3 linked regions of the Pelodiscus sinensis genome follow. The protein of the gene in region 3 interacts with the protein of the main gene of each other region in a pairwise test. Links are inferred from orthologs where the notes say so. Each region holds a gene or a part of one and is shown on either strand. Other genes may lie near its edges.

The links.
Region 1: the proteins of EDC3 (region 3) and ANXA10 interact in binary tests that used the Homo sapiens proteins (3 or more experiments, as listed by UniProt). The link is inferred for Pelodiscus sinensis from reciprocal best matches to the Homo sapiens genes EDC3 and ANXA10.
Region 2: the proteins of EDC3 (region 3) and DCP1A interact in binary tests that used the Homo sapiens proteins (3 or more experiments, as listed by UniProt). The two-hybrid records come from large-scale screens. The link is inferred for Pelodiscus sinensis from reciprocal best matches to the Homo sapiens genes EDC3 and DCP1A.

What each region holds. Positions count from the first base shown.
Region 1 is NC_134715.1:65,037,433-65,045,350, reverse strand, and holds the start of ANXA10 (annexin A10), read right to left. Parts: upstream 3,041-7,918; 5' UTR 2,994-3,040; coding exon 2,976-2,993; intron 1-2,975.
Region 2 is NC_134721.1:30,781,868-30,789,510, reverse strand, and holds the start of DCP1A (mRNA-decapping enzyme 1A), read right to left. Parts: upstream 3,014-7,643; 5' UTR 2,978-3,013; coding exon 2,843-2,977; intron 1,300-2,842; coding exon 1,259-1,299; intron 1-1,258. UniProt on the Homo sapiens protein: Necessary for the degradation of mRNAs, both in normal mRNA turnover and in nonsense-mediated mRNA decay. Removes the 7-methyl guanine cap structure from mRNA molecules, yielding a 5'-phosphorylated mRNA fragment and 7m-GDP.
Region 3 is NC_134724.1:35,330,306-35,337,877, reverse strand, and holds the start of EDC3 (enhancer of mRNA-decapping protein 3), read right to left. Parts: upstream 3,037-7,572; 5' UTR 2,925-3,036; exon of another isoform or gene 2,862-2,924; intron 1-2,861. Other genes in the region: cytochrome P450 1A5-like, read right to left, coding at 6,796-7,102. UniProt on the Homo sapiens protein: Binds single-stranded RNA. Involved in the process of mRNA degradation and in the positive regulation of mRNA decapping. May play a role in spermiogenesis and oogenesis.

The sequences.
Region 1 (7,918 bases), on a different chromosome or scaffold from region 3:
AGTCCTCAGAAATACCAATGCACACCTAACCTTCATATTTGCATATGTGAATCAGAATATGTATCTGCAACTACTGAATTGTAGCTTTTGTACCTATGGCTCCATACAAGTGCATTTTTATGGCCAAACTTTAGATGCCCAGTTTTGGAAATGTGGTTCTAGTAGATAAGGTTCAGTGAAGATAAATACAACTGCAATGGCTTAATAAAGAGCACATTGTATGCTAGTGTTAAAGGTTGTTGTTGGGGTTTTTTTTTCCACTTTGACATACTGGTCAGGACATTGAGGTCTGCTTATGTGTTGATTTCACTGTAACAAAAGTTACAACTTTTTCTTTCCTCAACCAAAGCTTTAAGCAGTTCCTTATAAGCCTGAAGCTGAGGCCGTAGCTATGTTTTCACAGCTTTTACTGAATTATGGTGTGTAAAGTCCATACAATGCAGTCTTATTATATCAAAAGTAATCTGAAGTATGAACAACCTTCTAATAATATTTGCTTAGTAAGTCATACTGCTGATAACAAACAATCTAAGTCAGATTTCATTGGATTGAATGTTTTCAGCTGTGAATAACTTCTGTCAGAAAATGCATGCTTTAAAAGCTAGCTACTTATTCTAATCTCTTATGAACTAGTTATGCTTTCTCAAAGAGATCTTCTGTGGTACAGCTTTGTTATATGAAAATTGCTAAGAGTAGTTTTAATTTGTGATTTTATTATCAATAATGGCACACAAGCTTTTCAATATAACTGCTTCAGTCCTCTACTTTTCCTGATACATGTATTTTATGAAGGGCAATGGCTGCCTTCTTATCTAATTTCTGGTAGTTTTTCAGTTTGCGTACTATGGGGAACCATTTCTGGTACACAACCACAATAATGAAGTCAAATGCAGTTTCTTTGTTTGGCAGGATTGTTGTTGGGAGCACTTTCTGGTTTGCATTCTTAAGCCTTAATGTATTCCAATCAAGGTAACCATTCAGAGAGCCATATGCAAAAATGATTTTTAGAAAATTAATAATTCTAAAAATGATATGAACAATGACTTTGCTTTTTCTTGTGTTTCTAAATTAATATTGTATTGGGATTCCTCTAGGAAATAGTTAGGTCTAGATTGTGCCTTTAGCCCTCTGTAAAAGATGTGTATAAATGGTACCATGCTAGGACTAGCCTGGAGAGGTACTGTGACTCAGATGAACCTCCTCTGCTTTCCCTTTATTCTCCCCCAATCTTACCCATGGCTTGGCAATTCTCTCAGCCCCCCTGACGGTACTGTGTGTTCAAGTTATAAAGAGATCACTTAGCTGCAATATCATTAAATCTGATTAATATTAGATTTAGCAGTCTTTAGTGATGAAAAAGTGAAATAATTCTCTTCTGTGGTAATGTAATATATTAACATTAATACCAGACAATACTATCAGTATATATTAATTACTCAAATACAATTGGACTTGATTAATCAGAAGAATACAAAAACTAAACTTGGTGACTTCTCCAGATAAAAATCAGTCTTCTAGTTGTGTCAGACTGCCTATTTCTTCCTCTTTCACTCTAGTAAAATGAAATACATTCATAACACAGTAGAAAGAAAGAAAACAACTTTCAGCTCTTAAGTGGAGTCTTAGGTCTAGTAATGTAATGAAGATCCCAAATCACAGATCAAAGACAAACACATTATGGAAACATATACTGAATAGTTATTTGTCTAGAGAAACAAATGCAATATAGTTTTCTAGAAAGAAATGTTTTTTCAGTGAGACTGGAATAATTAACCTTCAATACTGAAAGCATTAGCAATTTTTAAATTATGTATCTGATTAGTAAATCAGTTGGGGATGCCTGCACATATACAGAGTGTTTTGGAAAAATACACTATTATCCTAGGATTAATCATTAAAAGGGTATGAAATTCCTTAACCAGTACAGTTACACACATTCCATATATATAAAGCAGTTTTATAATTTGCTCTCAAAAAGTACTAAGCGCATGTACCATGGTACAACTTTATTAATCTGGCACATTTAATCAACACCATTTCCCATGATTGGTCACATAATTGAGAGTCAGTTTTAATTTCTGAATATTTTTCCTTTTTCAAAATATAAACAAATTGAATATAACTTAAAATATCCCCAACAAAAATAAATACTTACCCATAAAACATGTTTATTGTAACTTGTAACACAAACACACGTCGTTCTTCTAAAAAAAGTTCTGAAGTGTATTATGTATGAAACATAATAAAAAGGCAATATTTATCAATACCATCAGATGATTGAAAAGTTTTGTTTATTTTTAATAAGCTGTGTGACAATGTAGGAATTAAATAGTGATAAAAAGCAGGCAGAATATGAGATTTTAAGACTGTCTTAAATAATTTTTAGGCCAAGTCATGCCAAATTTCTATGCATTCGTTTTGACTCCTTCAGAGGAGAGAGGCATACTTCAGAACTACAAACTTTTACTAAACCAGTACAACAGTCTGCTCTCTTTGATTCTGTAAATAAAACTTCCATTTTTAAGGGTGTTAAGATTTTAAGCTAACAAATTAGTCCAAACTAAAAATGTTTTTCAGGTTGTACTTATTTTGTGAGGATACTTAAATTTGCCCTTTTTTAATGGATTAATGAAAAACTTTATTGTTTAGTGATGGTACAAAATTATGTATCTCTGTTTTATATCTAAATATCATCCATGAACACTCAAATCTCAGAAGTAAATGGTAAGACACATTTTTGTTTTAGAGCTAACATTTTAATGTATGTGAACTGTACAAACAACATTCTTCATTCTCTCATTCAACATATCCACATTTTAGATATCACATAAAAACCTCAGGCCAGATCTATACCTGCATAAAATGGCAGTAAATTGACTACAATAGAGATGCATTTATTCACGCCAGCTGAAGATCTGCGCTACTAACATTCTGTTAAGTTTGAAAGACTTGGCAGAACTGATCATTCTACTTACATAACCTCCACAATACATTTTGGTGTAAGTCTTCAAGTTCAGCAGAGCTCAAAGTAGGATTCACAATACTTAAAATTGCTATAAGTAATGCTTATTACTTTGAAGAGGACTGACTGGAACCACCCAATCAAACTGATACTCTTCTACCAATCACATTTGACTCCCAGGTAACAATGAAGTAGGAGCAACTCTTGGTACTGCACATTCCCAGATTTTACAGATTCACTATGTATACTTAGCCATTAATCATATATGACTAAGCAGGATTATTACGTAAAACAAATAGTATCTTATTGCGCTAATGTGTTGATTTAAGAAACAGAATTTAGCCAATCAAGGAATGAAGTATTAAGCTACAGAAAATACTTACGTTAATGATTGACTTCCAGCCTTAAAATGTCTCTAGCTCATTTTTTCCTATGGCTGAGTCATTTAGTCCAGTATATATTTTATTGACTATTTCCAGCTGGCATGACATGGATGCTGTACTGACTCTACCTAATGTTTGTGTAGTTACCGGGTCAGATCCTCATTTGGTTTAAATTGGCATAGCAGTTGTCATAAAAATGATTAATATTCTAGAAAAAGGGCTAAACAGTGAGATGACAAATATTATACAAAATTACTCCGGTTAGTTTAAATCCAAAGCAAACTGGAAAGAGTTACAAAGGAATCTCACAGAATTGAGTGACTAGGCAACAAAACAGCAGATTAAATTCAATGTTGGTAAATGCAAAGTAATGCACATTAGAAAACCATAATACCAATTATACATAGAAATGATGTGACCTAAGTGAGCTGTTATCACTCAAGAAACAGATCTTGAAGTCACTGTGGTGAATTCTCTAAAAATATCTGTACAATATATAATAGTTGTTAGGGAAGGGGTAGATAAAACAAAAAATATCCTAATGTCATGGAATAAATCCATGTAATTCCCACATCTTGAATACTGTGTAATTTGGCTGCTAAATAAAAGATATATTGGGAAAGATATAGGAAAGAGGAACAAAAGTGATTAAGGGTATGGAATGGCTTCTAAGTGAGGAGATATTGAAATAGACTTTTTTTCAGCTTGAAAAAGAGGCAACTAATCAACAGGGTTATGATAAAGATCTATAAAGTCATGAATGACCTTGGCTATTAGCGAAGATGGTCATAGATACAACCCCCAGCTCTGGGTATCCTTAAGCCTCCAACTGACAGAAGATGCGAGTAGATGACAGAAATGGATCACTTAATAATTGACCTGCTCTGTTCATCCCTCTGAAGCACCTAGCATTGGCTACTGTTGGAAGACAAGATACTGTGCTAGTTGGATCATGATCTTATTGAGCACGTACTTAAAGCAACCTCCACCTTTATTCCCTTTGCTAATAAAATTATTATAATTTATTTACGGTGTCAGGAAATGTGACATTTCCTGAAATATCTTCCTTCATTCCTACTTAAAAGTTTAAAATACAGATGAGAGAACTAAGTGTGCATCCTAGGGTTTTATTAGAAAAGATGCTATTATGGGTTACTACGGCTATGTCTAGATTACAAAGATAAGGTGGAAAAAGATACGCAAATTGCGAACTGCAAGTTGCATATCTTTTTCTGCTTTTCTGTCAAAGTGGCTTTTCTGAATTTTGGCACATCTGCATGGTGTCAAATTTTGGAAAAACCTGCTCTTTAGACACATCCCTTTTTCCTTGTAGAACGAGGTTTACAGGGATGATGGAAGAGTGTCTGCTTTTATTTTTTTTTAAAACAGACCCATTCCTTGGACATGGCATTGCTTTTCTGGTATACCCTGGTGTTCTGGAAAAGCACTGCAGTCTAGACATAGCCTACCAATGTTTCCTCCTTGCTGAGTACTTGGGTGGTCACTCGGGGGAGATTCAAATGCTGCCTGGCTGTTTAACACAGCACCAACAGCTGGCATAGTTGGCAGCATGTGATTCTACTTGTGGTGCACATCTGCATGTGCTTTGGTGCACATGGCAAAATTTATTCTCCGCATGGATGGATAAAATAGAGGGAACATTGGTTTCCACTGTTCTATCTAAAAACCTGCCAAGAGACTTAATTTTATTAAGAGATGTATATTACTTCAAGCTGAAATGAACTAAGAGTCTTAATTGTGTGTTTTTTTTTTTTTAAAAAAAAACCACTTGTATTATTTATAATGCACTTTTGAAAGAGCTGGTTCATTAATTTATTTAGGAGGTGTATTATGGCCTGGTGGATAGATCAATAGATTGGAACTCAGACCACCCAGTGGTCATCCTGGCTCTACTGCTGATCTGAGTGACCTTGGACATTCCTATGCCTTAATGTGCCTGTACGTAAAATGAGGATAATGATACTTGACCCCCTTTTAAAAAAAAAAAAAAAGAGTTTTGAGCTCTACTGATGTAGTATCATTACTATTGTCTATAAACAAACTTGGGATCTATGCTTTTCATTTTTCAAGGATTTTCCACTAGGGAACTTCTCTGGTTTGGGATGGTTTGTAGGATATGAGTGGCTGTGAATGTCAATCCTAACAAAAACCCTCCAAAATATCTGTATATTTCTGTATGCCTATGAAATAGGTAAGGCTTTTTAGCACTGTAGGATAGCGTCATAAGAACTAGCCCTGTATTCTGTCTTTCAACAGTGGCCAGCTCTAAGGGCTTCAGAGAGAATGAACATAACTGGCAATCACAGAGTGATCCATTCCTCATTGTCTTTTCCCAACTTCTGTCAGTGAGAGGCTAGGGACCCCAGGGCATGGGTTTGCATCCCTGGCCATCTTGACCAATAGCCACTGATGAATCTGTATTCCATGAACTTATCTAGTTATGGCCTTTACAACATCCCCTGAAAATGAGTTTCAAAGACTGACTATGCATGTGTGAAGAAGTACTTTTTTGTTTGTTTTTTAAGCCTGATGCCTATTAATTAAAGTTGTCCTTTTCACTTATCATAATAAATAAAACTACTGTCTTATACCACTTTACATTCCTTTACTTCAAGTGCTTTATAATAAATGACTTAGACATTCTATTCCCCATTTTATAGACATTTTATTCCCCATTTCATAAACAAGGAAATTGAACCACTGATAAGTTCAGTGACTTGCCCAGATTCACACAACAAGACAGTGGCAGAACCCAACATAGGTTTCCTGGCTGTCCTCATTTTGGAACAAATATTAGTTTCTCTTTACAGGCTCTGACTTTTTTTTGATTTCTTATTTTGCCATGAAGAGTAAATAAAATGCAGTGTGATTAATGACTAACATTCAGTACAATACAAAATGGATTATGTTTACAATATTTTAATCCTTCAGTGTCAAAATCTGCCATGATAAGGGACTACAGGTCTAAAACAAGAAAACAAAACCAGGACCTGTGGTATGCATGGCACATAATGTAAAGTCCAGACCCATGTGAAAAGGGCATACCTTTGTCGACTACGCCGTGTCTAGACTGCTGTGCTGGATCAGCTGATTGTCAGCACAGCTTGGCGGCCATGTTTATTTTAATGAAGTGGGGATTATTTAAATTCCCACTTTGACTATGCTGAATAAACTGCCAAATAAACTGTCGACAGAGCCATGTAGTCTAGACACACCCTGAGGTTTCCCCTTCCTGTTCCTTTTAAAGGTCCATACATGTTGCAGCTGATTGAGGAGTGTGTTCCTCCCCCAACAATGTTGCCTCCTATCAGAGAGACTAACACTGCCATTTTGCCTTTCAGTGACAGTGAAGGAGGCTGGATTCCCTCCTCCTCTGCCCTGTTTGGTGAATATAAGAACGGCCATACTGGGTTGTACCAAAGGTCCATCTAGCCCAGTAACTTGTCTTCTGACAGTGTCCAACACCAGGTGCCCCAGAGGCAATGAGCAAAACAGGTAATCATCAAGGGTCACTCATTCCCAACTTCTGATAAACAGAGGCTAAGGACACCACTCCTGCCCATCCTATCCTCAGGAGGATCTTCCACTTAGACTCCTCTTTTGCTCTGTCTGATGAAGTTGATAATTAACATATTTAGGATTAGGAATTCAAATTGACATTTTTCTTTTTGGTGCTAATGGGAAGACTGACTAAAACGAACCCGGTGTAATGAATTTCTAAAACTTATAAAAATAATTTAATTAAAATGAGAACTAAAAATAAGTTACATTCTAAAATAGGATTATTTGATATTAATTGTTGTTGTTGTTCGTCCTGATATTAATTACAGAGAAATGAATATCAGTTATTTACATCTATGAAAAACAAAGTGCAAATTGAAGGCATTATAAGCTTCATGTGTTGCTGTAGAGATTTTTCAGAGAACAGAAATGTAATGGCCAAGAAACACACGTGTACTGCTAGCTTTTGTCCAGTCTACAGCAAATATGACAGAGTAATGTGTTACAGGCATGGGACTTTCTCTTTGTATCGCTAAATATACCTTGTAATTTTGTGGGGGAATCAAATATTATGCATCCTGAGCTGGTAAAACTGTAATATTACAACTATGAGGAGGAAGGACAGTGTGAGAATGAGTCATGGGAAGATAAAAGATAGTCAAAGAAGAGCTTAACTCTGCTAAGAAAATAAGAATGGCTATAATGGGTCCGACCAAAGGTTCATTTAGCCCAGTATCCTGTCTTCTGACATGACCACTCCCTCTGGGGCCTCTGGCATTGAACAGAACAGGGAATCATCAAGTGATCCTTCACCTGCCATCCATTTCCAGCCTCTCACAAACAGAGGCTAAGGACACCAATCTTATTCATCCTGGCTAATAGCCATTGATGGACCTAACTGTCAGCCGACGGTCAGGGCAGTGTGTGTGTGTGTGTGTGTGTGTGTGTGTGTGTGTGTGTGTGTGTGTGCTGAGAAAAGGTTTAACGTCCGTGACTTTACTGCTAGGACCGGGGTCCCGTCGCAGAGGGCAGCCAACAGGCTGACAGATGC
Region 2 (7,643 bases), on a different chromosome or scaffold from region 3:
ATAGCAGTGTTTCTCAACCTTTTTTAAAAATAAAGTACCCCTTTTAAAAAAAAATTATAAGTACCCCCAGTACCTACAGTTTTCAAGCACACACATTTTTTTTCTACCACTGCAACACATTTGTTTAAACAACTTAATCGTAGCTGGGTGGGCAATGAAATTTTTGGATGAAAAAAGTACAAAAATAATAAAGCACTGTAAAACTTGAAACAAAAATTCAGTTTTCTCCAAATTTCAGTTGTGTTGATATACCCCCCCAACTTCTCTTGAGTACCCCTAAGGGTACTCAGACCACTGGTTGAGAAATACTGGTCTACAGCATTAACCTACAAGCTTTTACTTATTGGTTAATTTACTATAGCATTACATCCCTATTGGCAGGGCTCGACAAATCGCTATATCTACTCGCCTGTGGCGAATAGATTTCAGCCGGTCGCCCTGTTCACCGGTGCTGTGCGCATGTGCAGTGCTGGTCTGGCGCTTGCAGGGTGTGGGGCTGGCGAGTAGATCTTGCCGTGGTTCGTCGAGCCCTGCCTATTGGCGATGTTAAATTGCATTTAATCAGTTAATCGACTAGTCGATTAGTTGATAATGGGGGAAAACTGCAGAGCCACAGTGGGAGCTAACCCCCCTGTGGCTCTGCTTTTTAAATTTATGAAGACCTGCCAGGCTCGTAATACACTTAAAAAGTTAAAGCGCGCGCGGGGGGGGGGGGGGGGGGGTACAGGACACAAGCCAGGAATTAGCTGCTTACCAGCTCATGCCCGGTCCCCCACTATGCCTCTGCCTCCCCCAGGAGATGGTGCTAGGGGTGAACCGGCTTTTAAGTTAGCTCCCCCAATGCCAACTCCTGCTCCCAGCCCTCTTGCTGCTTCTCTCTGATAGAGGCAGAAGGGCGGAGGAGGGAAAGCGACTAGTCGAGTCACTGGTCGACTAGTTGCTTACATCCCTAATTCCTATCATTAAAAGCACTCAGGAATATATTAGGAAATCAGTTACCAAAATTAATAAAATAACCTAATTACAATTTTTTAATTTCTATGATTCTCTTCATTTTATTCATTTATTTTCTTCAAGACTGTTACTAAAATGTTGTGTGTGCACTTTCTGAAGAGTTATATGTCTAGGTGCTAAATTTCATTTTAAAACATGAAGTTGGATGTGAATTTCTGGTCAAATATCAGAATTAGTTAAAAAGCCAACTTTGATAAAGTCTAAATTTAATAGTTACATATTAAAGCATTTTTGTATGACTTACCTTCTATACACAAATAAGGTACCTTCTATGTCAGTCTTCTCCTACAAGAGACAGCAATTACATCTATTTTAGTGATATGGTTATTCATACAGTTAGGCAGCTTGCATTCTAACAAAAAAATAACTTTTTTAGTACTTTTCAAAGATGCGTGACATCATAAAACTCAGATTTAATCTCATATTTTCAATGAATTGCTAACTTAAGGCAAATATATAAAATTATACATGCTATCTTGTTGATAATAACATTATTCATTTTTTTAGAGAAATTATACATTTCTCATCACTTTCTTCTCCTAACCAGCTTCACTAGAAAAGTCAAACAAATATATTCTCTGTAGTAACCTCATATTCATGTATAGTAATAAAATTTTACTTTGCAAAAAAAAATTTTAAAAGTATCTTGCAATGACAAATTACAATGAGTTTTTTTGGACAATAGCTACAATAGCTATAAATTGAACACACAGCTATCTATATTTTAATTTCATGCTATGCACTGATATCTTGTTTTATATATTAAAACTTAGCTAAAAAGAAAAAAGCCACATGATTTACCACCTGCAAAATAACTTTGGGTTCAACTGGACTATTCACATTACTTAAGTTTTTGCAGGAATAAGATCTCAGAGACCTCGCATGTAACTGCAAACCTCTGTGTCTGACAAGATGTTTTAAAACCTCTTTACATTCATATTAACTTTTTTTTTTTTAGAAATGTAGTGTATATTGATGGTCTTTATTTTCAAAACTGTAGAAAAAGAAAGATATTCTTGAAATTAATCGGAAATTTTATTTCAGAAGAGCAGTCAGTACCAATATTTCTAAAATCCCATACTTTTTGAACTTCAAAATTATCAGCAGGTGGAAAGTGACAACTAGAAAGGTACATAGATACACACACAAATACAAACCGAAAAAACCCTGCAAACAAACACAATTGAGCGTATAAAGCATGTTAGGCAAAACTACTCTATCTGCTTCAATGATAAAAATCAGTGGGGTAGCTATGTTAGTTCTGTCCACCAAAACGAGAGGTCTTGTTTGGGCATACGCTTTCATGGGCAAAATCCCACTTGGTCATATATATCTGACAAAGTGTTTCGTTGCCACAAAGCTTTTGCTCAAATAACTCTATTAATTTCTGGCGTCGGATTTAAATTGTCTCCTCAAACTAAGAACAGTCCGAGATGCTTGGGAGAGGGAAAAGTGTGAAAATTTCAAACTTGTCAAGAGTCACGGCCCTTACCCCGCAAAGCACAGTCCCACAAGCTGAACGGCCTAACCCCTGGGGGCCTCCCGTCCCAGTGTGTGTATAGGTGGGGGGGGGCGGTTCTGGGGCTGCCACTCCCCACTGCTGCGGGGAGTTTTGGTTTCTCTCGTTAAGGGGACAGTGGCTGCCTCTGCGCGCTGGGGATGGGGAGCGAGCGTGTCGGGGTCTATCCCCGGAAATGGGGGGAGGGCCTGGGCCCAGCTCTCCTCCCCTGGGAGGGCGTGTGGGGGTGTCGGTGTCTCTCCTCTCGGCCCGGGGGAAGGGTCTGCAGCGCTCCTGGGGGAAGGCAGCAGGCCCCGGCTCCCCACTTACCCACTCGTTGGCTTTGGGGCTGAAGCTGTAGAGCGCGACCTGGCCGGTCACGTCGGCGATGCTGGTGATGTAGGGATCGTTCCGCTTTAAGACCGCCAGGCTCATCTCCTGCCCCGCTTTACTCAGCGACTCCATCTTGGATCCCGGGAGGAACCGGAGGGGGTGGGGGAAGGGAGCGAGGACCACGGCGTCACGTGTGCAGCCTTCCGTGTTCTCGCCCGGGCACGGCGGCCTCCGCGCCGTCCGTTCCGCCCTGCTGCCGCTGCGCCCTGGGTTCTGGCTGCGGCTGCCCGGGTAGCGGTCGGGGAGTCGGTTACCTCCCGCCCGCAGCTCCCAAGAAGGGACTGTGCCGGGGGACCCCGGCCCCTCGGAAAGGCATCGCCCTGGGCGTAGTCCTGAAGGGGAGTAGGTGAGGCTCAGGCCTCCCGAGCAACGAGCCGCCCCCAGCTGGGCAGCCGGAGGATTTGTGCCCTTAGTGCCCTGTCTGCACTTGCTGCAAAGTCCCATGTTAGGTAACAGGGTTTAATCCATTGGAGACAACCTGGGAGAGACTGATACCGTCCCCAGACGCCAGAACCAGCAGCATGTACAATACTGACCTCTCCCAGGAGCAATGCAGGACGTTGCCACCACAGCCTCAAGGATTCCTCCATGCTTGGGCCAACAGAGTCCCACCGTTGGCATGAATCCCTGAGGCTGTACGCTCCATTCCAGTAGATATGTGAGCCTGAAGGCGTGAGGGGCCTCTCTTGGACCTGGCTACCCCACATCTTTGCACAGACTCCTAGCCATGTCTTCGACCCTTTGGCTGGGATTCACCAGCTCCAAACAAGGAACTATTGACAACACAGTGGCATTCAAAAGAAAATGATTGTATGAGGTTGTATTTCAGATTTCCTGTGTGCTAGCTCCAGCTCCAACTAAAGTCTCTCAGCACAGGCCTGCAGGAACTGTACAGGGATTCTTCTTGCTTACCAGGATGGCTTTAGCACTTGGTAATGATGCCTAGTCAAGATGAATCTGCTAGGGTGAAGGAGGAGTTGATGGCTGCCTTAAGGCCTTGTCAATTATGTGAGGGGACAAAGTAAGGCAACAGGCACTTACAGCATGAGCCTTTGTGCCTTGCCTTCCTATTCTGTCCCTAAGCTTGTTTCCCTTGAGCTACTGGTCTAGTGGGGAGATTCACATGTCACTGTTTGGGTCAGTCTTTTGACATCTGGATTATCCATGTGTACAGAAACAAACTCATCAGACTCTCTGCAACCTGGTAAGGTAAAGGTTGTTAAACTATAAATGCTTTATAAAAGTTACATTAGTCATTAAAGAGTCAATGTAGGTGATGTAATTTCTTGTATTCAATCAACCTCTGATGGTGAGAGGGACAAGGTTTTAAGCTACACAGAGCTCTTCATCAGGTCTGGGAAAAATACAATGACGAGCTCTGTGCAGCGGGAAAGTGTGACTCTCACCAACTGAAGTTGGTCCAATAAAAGATATCTCACCAACTTTGTTCCAAATATCCTGGGATAGGGTTGCCAACTCTCAGGGACTGGACAGACCAGAAACCATTGCTGTGAATAGTGTTTGGTCTGTCCAGTTGGGAAGATTAGCAACCCGGCATCAAGAGGGCTATAACAACATTAATCATTGACATATGTGGGTAATGCATCTAACGCATGTAGAAGTGGAGCCTCAGTTTATTTGCTTTGATTAGAGCTGGGCTTGATAGATATTACTGTTTATTGAGATAACCTTACTGAATTAGACCAGTGGTTCAACTAGTCCAATATTATGTCTCTGACAGTAGCCAGAACTCCAAATGTGCTTATCTTAGGTATTTACATGGCTCCCATTACATTAGCATCTGAATGTCTTGCAAACTTTATAATGTATTCAGCCTTATATGCAGGGAACTGTGCAAAATATTCATAACATGATTTGAAAACCTCACTTTTTGGGAGGAGGAGATTGCATTTAATTTGTTCTAAGGGAATGGGCTTTATTAGGTGAAAAACCATCATGGTGGTTTTGACCATGTGGCTAGTCAAAGTTTGGAGCCTTGCCAGTTATTGTAGCTGAGTGTAGAAACTGACAATGGAGAATGGTATTTGTTTTGATGAAATCCTGTTTCTTTACAAGGAATGTGCAAAGTCTTGCCTCTTTCTTGATCCCCAAAACTTGAGAGATGCAGTATTGAAAAGTTCACAAGGTGAACCGTACGACGTTCTTAGGCTATCTGTCTCACAGCTAGCAAACAATATTGCCAGAGTTCTGTTGATACAATTTGTGAGGCAGGTGTACAAACTTGTACCAAATTCTGCTTTTCACTATTCTTGCATGATTCCCATTGGGGGCCAGACTGTAAAGTGCACATGTACTGATGATACACAGAATGGATGAACCTTCTCAAACCTTGCATACTCTTAATAGAATGAGAAACTTATTTGCCAGGTACCCCAGAAGTTTTACATTGCTTCAAAGAGCCTGCTGAGTGGGCTGGCTGCACCAGAAGAACAGGCTCATGCATCTTAATGGATGAACCTGTCAAATATTAAAGGAGGGTCTACACACCGCCTGTGGATACAGAAACTGAAGGTAGGATTGTGCCTTCCCAGGACACAATCTCACCTCAAGCAATCCCTGCCTGGGGCACTATTATTCCACATTGTTCTTTACTCAGGGCTCTGTTTATCCGGTACACTCTAACACCAAGCCATGTCTACATAGCAGCACTATTTCGACTTAAGATATGCAATTGATGTAGCTCAAATTGTGTAGCTTCTTTCGGCATTAGCCCTGTTGTGTAGACGTGCCCCAACTGTGTTAACTTTAACGGGGGCTTCCAAAGGCAAGAAATGGCATCTATAATGAGCAAAAATGCTATATATTGTGAGTTAAAGTGACTGAGTACTATTCTGTCCAATATTAATAGGGGAAAACAGGTACTAAAAAGAGAAGACACAAATTATTTGAAAATTATTTTAAACAAAAAGGGTGCCTAGAAAATGTGTACACAGATTCAAAATCCTTTTGAAGTATGGATCTCAGTGATGATTCTAAGCACTGCAACAAATAGGATGACCCTTGTCTTCATGTCAAGCTTGGACAAGCGTGGTCTAAAGCAAACCTTGCTTTCAAACTACAGGCAGTCCCCGACTTACGTGGATCCGACTTATGTCGGATCCGTAGTTACAAACGGGGCTTTTCTCGCCTCGGAGGACGCGGGCGGCGGGACCGCCCAGATGCGCTGCGGTCCCGCCGCCCGCGTCCTCCAGGGCGAGAAAAGCTGCTCCGCGTCTCCCTGGTCTGCTGGGGAAGTGCCCCCAGCAGACCAGGGAGATGCGGAGCAAAGCCTCGGAGGACGTGTGCGGCGGGACCGCCCAGACGCGCCGCGGTCCCGCTGCCCGGGTCCTCCGCGGCTTTGCTCCGCATCTCCCTGGTCTGCTGGGGGGGGGCCCCCCCAGCAGACCAGAGAGACGCGGAGCAAAGCCGTGGAGGATGTGGGTGGGACCGCGGCGCGTCTCGGTGGTCCCGCCGCCCGCGTCTCCCTGGTCTGCTGGGGGGAGGGGGACGCAGCTAGTGCGCACCCCCCCCCCAGCAGACCAGGCTTTTCTCGCGATGCCTGGGGTAGAGCAGCTGGGGTGCTGCCCGGTTGGTCCCGCAGCGCCGCTCCTCGGCGCTACTGGACCAACCCGCCAGCACCCCAGCTGCTCTGCCCCAGGCGTCCTGATTCAGCCGCTGCTGGTCAGTTTCAGCAGCAGCTGAATCAGGACGCCTGGGGCAGAGCAGCTGGGGTGCTGCTGGGTTGGTCCAGTAGCGCCGAGGAGGGGCGCTACTGGACCAACCCGGCAGCACCCCAGCTGCTCTGCCCCAGGCGTCCCCAAGTCAGCCGCTGCTGAAACTGACCAGCGGCTGACTACAGGAAGCCCGAGGCAGAGTTGCTCTGCCCTGGGCTTCCTGGAATCAGCTGCTGATCAGTTTCAACAGCGGCTGACTTGGGGACACCTGGGGTAGAGCAGCTGGGGTGCTGCCAGGTTGGTCCCCGCAGCGCTGAGGTGCGGCACTGCGGGGACCTACCCGGCAGTGCCCCAGCTGCTCTGTCCCAGGCATCCAGATTCAGCCGCTATTGAAACTGATCAGCGGCTGATTCCAGGAAGCCCAGGGCAGAGCAACTCTGCCTCGGGCTTCCTGTAGTCAGCCGCTGGTCAGTTTCAGCAGCGACTGAATCTGGATGCCAGTTCCGACTTACATACAGATTCAACTTAAGAACAAACCTACAGTCCCTATCTTGTACGTAACCCGGGGACTGCCTGTAATGCAATGAGAAGATCTTGACAAAGTGCAGCCTTCTGCAATGCCAGATCTTCTTTACTGCATCTTGAATTAAAAGTGAAACATGAAGAGCACTGATAATAGAATCAAGTGGGAGTTTTGGTTCGTGGATTGTTGTCCTCCATCATCTTTTACCCCAGTTCAACACTCAAGTGGGTTTGTTCTCCTTGCCCTTGTTCACTGCTCGTGCCTCATTGTGTGATATTTTATATCAGAAATGTATGAATAATGAGTGAAGGCTCTCATCTTCCTCTGCCCTGAAGCACACAGAAGTAAACAGTATGTGCTTAGCCTCAAACTTAGACCTCTGTGTAAATGTTGCATCTCGGTAAGATTGTTCAGTGGCTATTGTATATTGTGAATATCTTTATCCTCTTTTGAGTTATGCAGCAGTTAGTGGGGGAAATATGTTTACCTATCATTCTATACATTCTGTTCATGTACTGATATGGACAGAAGTGGGGTGATG
Region 3 (7,572 bases):
GCTCTGCCCCGGGCTTCCTGGAATCAGCTGCTGATCAGTTTCAGCAGCAGCTGACTTGGGGACGCCTGGGGTTCTTAAGTTGAATCTGTATGTAAGTCAGAACTGGTGTCCAGATTCAGCAGCTGAATCTGGATGCCAGTTCCGACTTACATACAGATTCAACTTAAGAACAAACCTACAGTCCCTATCTTGTACGTAACCCGGGGACTGCCTGTAACCTGCCCCTCCCCCACATAAAAATCCGGGAGACCCAATAGTCAGACTATAGTGTAAACCCTGAGGAAAGAGGTTTAATATGCCTTCCAAAATTCCTGGTAATTAATTACATAAGTTGGATATTTCTGATATCTCTGTAAAAGGGATTGGATATTTAAAATCTTGTTAGGCTCTTTGGCTCATCCAAAGCTCACACCGAAACATGCTGCCTTTCCCCCAAAGATGTAAAAAAAGCAGCTTGTGCCAATGTACATACTCCCTTGTTGACCACAAGACAGTAGCACACAGGTTCCTTCTAACATTAAAGAGAAGAGCCTAGGAGACAAACAGCAAGGTTCTATTTATTAATAGGGCCCTACCAAATACAGAGCCATATAAAATGTATCACAAATCATGAAATCTGGCCTTTTGTGCGCTTCTGCTCTATATCAGGGCTGGCCAACTCGCGGCTCTTTGATTAAGGAAATGCAGCTCCTGCTCCTTCTGAGCTGCGCCCCAGTGCCTGCTCACAGCCGGCCGCTCTGCGCACATTCCCCAGCGCCTGGAGGTAGAAGCGCGTGGCGGCGGCAGCGACGGCTCCGGGATCCAGGCATTAAGTGAGGGAGAGGTGTTTGGGGGACCTGAAGCACTTTAAACTCAAAGTCTTCATGTATGCAGAATAAGGCAGCCAACACAGATGTCATATTTAAATTCCAGGGCAAAAAAAGAATCAGTATCTACCTGGTTTACACTGTTTCTTTAAAGAAAATTGAAAGGCTACTATTTGCCAGGCTGAAGCAATTATTCTGAGATATGAGTCTCTCCCTTATTGTTTTTGAACCTCTCATATTTGCAATCTGGGACAGTCCTGAATTTTTAGCACTATAAAAAAAAGCCATAATCTTCATAAGCAGGGCTTGACAAATAATGCAATCTACTCGCCTGTGGCAAGTATATTGCAACCCGGAAGAGCCGGGTTCGGGCGATCTGCGCATGCGCAGATCGCTGAACAGCGCAGCTGGCGAGTGGGGCTTGCCGCGGTTCGACGAGCCCTGTTCATAAGTAACAAAAATGAGGAAACCTTACCAGACATCACAAGCTGGAGTGAAACAGCCACATCAAATTGTGCTAATTTACTTCTCAGTTCAGTTTAATTTTAAAAACCACACAGGTCATAAAAGGGCAGTAGTGTTAAATTTAATATACATGGTGGGGATTTTTTTTTAAGTGTGCGATTACTGTATTTTTAAAGATTTTTTTTATTTGATATTTGTTCCTTGTCAAGTTCTCTGAAGATTTATGGACTGGCCATGAATTCTTTAAGTAACAAAAAAAAGTGTTTTACGTTTTTTTTGTCCAAAATGTCCTGTAATGTTATTTTTATCACTACATTTTGTGTACTATTATCTATCTATAGATACATAAAAATAAATATATAACACGTGGCTTTTTGCACTCTATCCACAGCTATTTTGGCTCTTCGTCTAACTGGTTGGCCACCCACTCTATACGATACAGATTTCACAGGGGAGACTAGTGTTTCTCAAATTGGGGGAGGGGCCTTACCCAAAAGGCAGTTGCAGAGGGTTCCAAGTTATTTTAGGAGGATCACAGTATTGCCACCCTTCCTTCTGGGCAGCCTTCAGAGCAATGCCATTATAGTAGTAGTTATGTTGGTTGTGTGCCCAGATCTGAAGGCAGCACTCCTCCAGCAGCAGTGCAGAAGGATGGTAACACCACACATGTTGCCCTTCCTTATTTGTGTGCTGCTGCGTTCAGAGCTGGGTGGCCAGAGAATAGCAGCTGCTAACTAAAGGCCCAGCTCTGCAGGCAGCAGTGCAGAAGTAAGGGTAGTGATATATACTATGCCATTTTACTTCTGCACAGCTGTTGCAGAAGCTCTGTCTTCAGAACTGGATTCCTGGCCAGCAGTCACTGCTTTCCATCTGCCCAGCTCTGAAGGCAATGCTACTGCCAGCAGCTGTCCAGAAGCAAGGGTAGGAATATTGCAACCCCCATACAATCTTGCAAAGCGCACACAACTCTTTTTGGGGGGTCAGGACCCCTACAATTGCAGCACCAGATTTAAATATCCCAAATCATGAAATTTACCATTTTTAAAATCCTATGACCGTGAAATTAGCCAAAATGGACCGGGAATTTGGTAGGGCCTTATTTATGAATCATATCGTGGTAATGCCCAGAAAGCCCAATCCGGAGCAGAATTCATTGCACACACCACTATAAAAGTGCACAGCAAAAGGGAGTCCCTGCTCCAGTTTGCTGACAACGATTAAAGCGCAAGGCCTGCTTGTAGGCTGCCTCGTTCCACGTGTGACGGGAGGCGGCGGAGCAGGATCCCAGGCTCGCGCTCTCTTGCAAATGAAAACAAAACGCCCCCGTGCAGGGCGCGCTCACGCTGGGAGGACTCCAGGGGCCACGGGGGAATAAAGGCGCCTGGGGCCCAGCCGCCAGGACTCGGCTCCCCCCGCAGTGCAGCCAGGCGGCCCCGCTGGGAGCAGGAATTGAAGGGGGCGGAGTGGGGGAGGGGAACTGGCCCGGCGTGGGGGCCCCTCCCCCCTCACGGGCCGCCCCAGCTCCTCCCCCTCTCCTCGCCAGACGGCGGCGCGGGCCGAGGCCCTGTCCCTCCCCGCGCCGCCCCCCACCTGCGTCCCGCCGCTCGCTCTCCGCCTCTCGTGGAGCTACTCTCCACACCGTCCCCAACGCACACCGGAAGCGCCCCCTCCGCAGCGCCGTGCGTCTGCCGTCACTTCCGCCGCGGCTCAGGGCCCGCTTCCCGGTCATAGAGTCCGGCGGTTTGGTGAGGGCCAGGCTGGCGCTCTACCCAGCCCCGGGACCATAGACAAGCCGACCTCCCGCAGCCCTGCGCCGCGAAAAAGAAGTCCGCTGTGCGCCTGCGCAAAGCGCCCTGTGTGTGGGCAAGGTGCCGTGTAGTCGGGGCCCTGCTCCCGCAATCGGTGCCCATCGGGCAGCCTGGGGCCCGGGCACGGCGCGCCATGGGGCTGGGCGGGGCCGCGCCCCCTCTGCCCATTGCCCCCAGCCCGAGGGGGCCGTTGGGCCCTTCCCTGCCCTGGGGTGGGCGGCGCCAGGCTGAGCCCCCCCACTCATGGGGGGCTGGGGCAGTCCCCCCCGAGTGGGAACCCCTGGATCTCGTGCGGTGCTCGAGGGCTGCTGCAAGCCCCTGCACTGACTCCAGGGCACAGGTTGAGCTGCTCTGCCTGGGGGGCAGGGAGTTGGTTAGAAACGGGGGGCAGGTGGCCGGGCGATCCAGCCACTGCGGGGTCTTTCCCTCACGGTGAAAACGTTGCCGGAGCGGGTACTCCACTTACAAGACGCGGGGAGGGATGCGTAGGGATGAGTGGTCGGTCTGCTGCTAGGATTTGCCTTTGGACCATTACTGTTAAACGTGTTCTTGAAAGGGGCAAACAGATGGCAAATTTTTCACACACTACAAAATTATTCAAAACAGTTATGCCCAAAGCTGATTGCAAAGAGTTACAAAGGGAGCTCACAAAACTGGGTGACTGGGCAACAACCCAGGCAGATGGAATTTAGTGTTGCTAAATGCAAGAAATGCTCCTAGAAAAATATAATCCCAACTGTACCTACAAAAATGATAGGTAATTGCCTGAAAACATCTGTGCAGTGGTAGTCTTAAAAACTAAATAACAGAAGATTGGGAATCATTAGGAAAGGAACAGATATTTATATAGAGACAATATAATATGAACATTTCATCTCAGTAGGGTGAGTCCCGCTTCAGTGAAAACAAGGACTGAACTGGCTTGGTAGGTTATGGTACATAGCGTCAAAAAAATTCCCTATTGACTTCACTATGTATTGAATAAATATAGCTGCATTCTCTGTATGGAGAGAAAAGACTTGATCTTGTCAAATGGTAACAGTGGGGCTATTGTGGGATACCAGAAGTATCCCAAAATAGCTACCCAGTGTCTTTTTAATGCGCCCACTATTTTGAGCATGTCTGCTATTTCGAGACCTATTTTGGCATCCCTGTAACCCTTGGTCCACAAGGGTTAAGGGATGTCTCGAAATAATGCACTATTTTGACATCTGACATTGTGGAGACACCAAATTTCAAAATTCAATTGAATTTCAAAATAGTGTAATAAACGCTATTTGCGTAGCACAAATTGCATATCTTATTTTGCATTTCGGGTGCTGTGTAGCTGCACCCTTAGTGAGGACTGCAAAATTCCCATTGATTTGACTGGTAAGATAGTTCCTACAGTGAGGTAACAGTTGGTGGATTTCAGAATAGAGAATCTGAGTGTTTAAAATCAGACCCAGGCTACAATCAAGAGCATCCCATGCTAATGTTTATTTCAGACATTGTCTACATGAGATTCTTAACTATGTTTTATCAGTTAAATGAAACTGTTCTGTACAGATCACATTTCAGCCAGGTACAATATAAGCATGCAGTGAGCATTGATACACTTTGTATTTGTAGTGGTGATAACAGCATTCTGGGTGCACATATGAAATGCTGCAGAGATTGTCAGTATAAAGGTGCCCCTTACTGTCCCTCCTACCCTTCACCTTTTACAGACTGAACATCTACATTGGTTACAAATGCTCTCGAACAACTAGTTTTAAAGAGCTGCAATACAGTTTGCAGGTAAATAAGGTCTTTTGGGTTTCCCCTCACTGTCTGCCTTCTGTTTTCACCCATTTTAACTTGCAACTTTGAAGAAGTTTGTCAAACTACTGGACCTGGTCTAGTAGGACCTCTAATTCATGTATAACAGTATCAGGTTGTTTACCAGGGGTTATTGAAGTAGCCCTAAAAAATTCCAAGTATTAAAGGAAATGCTCAAATCCCAGCACTTTCATGTTTCATACAAGTGGAGCATGTTCTATTAGTCTAACATATTTCAGGGAGAGGGCTACCATGAGGCCATGTCTACACTAGGAAATGATTTTGAAATAACTACATTCAATTTAACTCCCAAAATAACAAAATCAAAATAGCATGTCCTCACTACAGGAAAGCCTCGAAGTTAGTCCGAGGCAGGCTCCCTTAATGTGGACGTGCTACCTTGACTTAGAGCCCCAGGAAGCACTGGGGAGTAATTAGTCTGAATGCCTCTGGGGGGGGTCGTTATTTCAAATAGTGGCACCGGAGCATCCACACTACCGCTATTTCAAAAATAACGATTTTGAAATTCACATTACTCCTCAAGGAAAGCAGGAGTCCAGATTTCAAAATAAGTGGCCTGTGATTTCGAAATAACAGGCTCGGTAGTGTGGATGCTCCACTTATTAGTTTGACCCTAGTGGAGTTATTTCAAAATAAAGCCCTCGTGTAGACCAGGGGCAGATTTAGATGGCCAGCCACAAACCGGGTGAAATTCCCCCCCTACAACACTGAAGTTCACACGAGTCTTCAAAATAGGATTTAAGCAGTGCATGGGTATGAGCTAGCTTTCTGCAAAGAATGCAAGTTTCACTATTCCTAGACTAAAAGTTGTTCAACCCCAGCCATTTGAGAGACTGGGGTTATGTTTCTCCTCAAAACTTTTAGTCTATGAGAGGATACAGAATGGTTGTAACGTGTGCTCCAATTACAGGTTGTACATCAAATTCTATATTTCATATCGATTTTGCCGCCACAGCTAGCTAGTTAATTTCAGCGACAAACTTGGGCCAAAATTGCTTATTCTAAACTAAGGCACACAATAAAACCCAGGGCTGTGTCTACACTGGCCACTTTTTCCGGAAGATCAGCTGCTTTTCCGGAAAAACTTGCCAGCTGTCTACACTGGCCGCTTGAATTTCCGCAAAAGCACTGAGTTCCTACTGTAAGAAATCAGTGCATTTTGCGGAAATACTATGCTGCTCCCGTTCGGGCAAAAGTCCCTTTTGCGCAAAAGGGCCAGTGTAGACTGCTGAGATTTGTTTTGCGCAAAAAAAGCCCCGATCATGAAAATGGCGATCGGGGTTTTTTTGCACAAAAGCATGTCTAGATTGGCCACGGACGCTTTTCCGCAAAAAGTGCTTTTGCGGAAAAGCGTCCGTGCCAATCTAGATGCTCTTTTCCGAAAATGCTTTTAACGGAAAAATTTTCCGTTAAAAGCATTTCCGGAAAATCATGCCAGTCTAGACGTAGCCCAGGTGTCCATCATAAAAGGCCTGCACCTCAGGGACATCCAGAGCAGTTTTGCAGAGAACTCAGCATCAAACCTCACAAGATCAGTAGCTACCTGATCAAAATATATCTGCGAAGTCTGTTGTTTCTGCAGGTAAGCATGATGGCACTAACTAGGTGACATATCGGGTAGCCCCACACGGCATGCTCCTCAGAGTACACGGGGCAGGCTTGGTCAGTTTGCAATACACTCTTGGAAGGCCAGCAGACGGCAGTAGCAAGTGCAAGTCAGATAGGACCCAACCGCCACTGTGTCAGTTCAGATGCAGAGTCAACACAGCCTGTGATATCTGACGCTCTAGGGCATGTCAGCCCTAACATAGCATTGGGGGGGTGATTTCCACAAGCCAAAATACTGTGATGTGGCATCTCCCCATCCCCTTGTCCTAGCTGGAAGGCCAGGGAGCTCACTCAGAGCTCTTCACCTCAAAGCGCTGCTGAATCTGGAAGTGCTCACACCTCTTGTGCTTCATGGTCAGTCCGTACTGAGGCGTTATGTCCGCCTTCTCCCCATCACGTATGCTGAACTCCAGTTGCTGAAGCAGGGTGGTCAGGAAGAGGAAGATCTCCCACTTGCCAATGTTCTCCCCAATGCACCTCCTCTTCCCCAGGCCGAATGTCATCACTTTCTCGCTCTCGGCCCGGTTGACCTCCATCCCGTCAATGGTGAGGAAACGCTCGGGGCTGAAGGTGGAAGGATCTTTCCAAAGCTTCCTAAAAAACAGAAGGAGAAGACAGCAATTGTACCACCTCTGAAGGACTAGCAGGCATTTCAGCACAGTCCTCATCAGAGTAGATGCCTGATATGTGACAATGGTTTTCAACCTCACTGTTATCAGTCAAGTGCGCCCTTATTTTGAACACTGCAACTGCAACCAAGCCATTTTATCTTCTTGGCCTTCTGCAACACAGGCTGTGTCTAGACTGGCATGATTTTCCAGAAATGCTTAATGGAAGAATTTCCCGTTAAAAGCATTTTCGGAACAGAGCATCTAGATTGGAAGGACGCTTTTTCTGCAAAAAGTGCTTTTGCAGAAAAGCGTCCGTGCCAATCTAGACGCGCTTTTCCGCAAAAAAGCCCCAATTGCCATTTTCGCCATTGGGGCTTTTGCGGAAAACAAATCTGAGCTGTCTACACTGGCCCTTTTGCGCAAAACTTTTGCGCAACAGGACTTTTGCCTGAA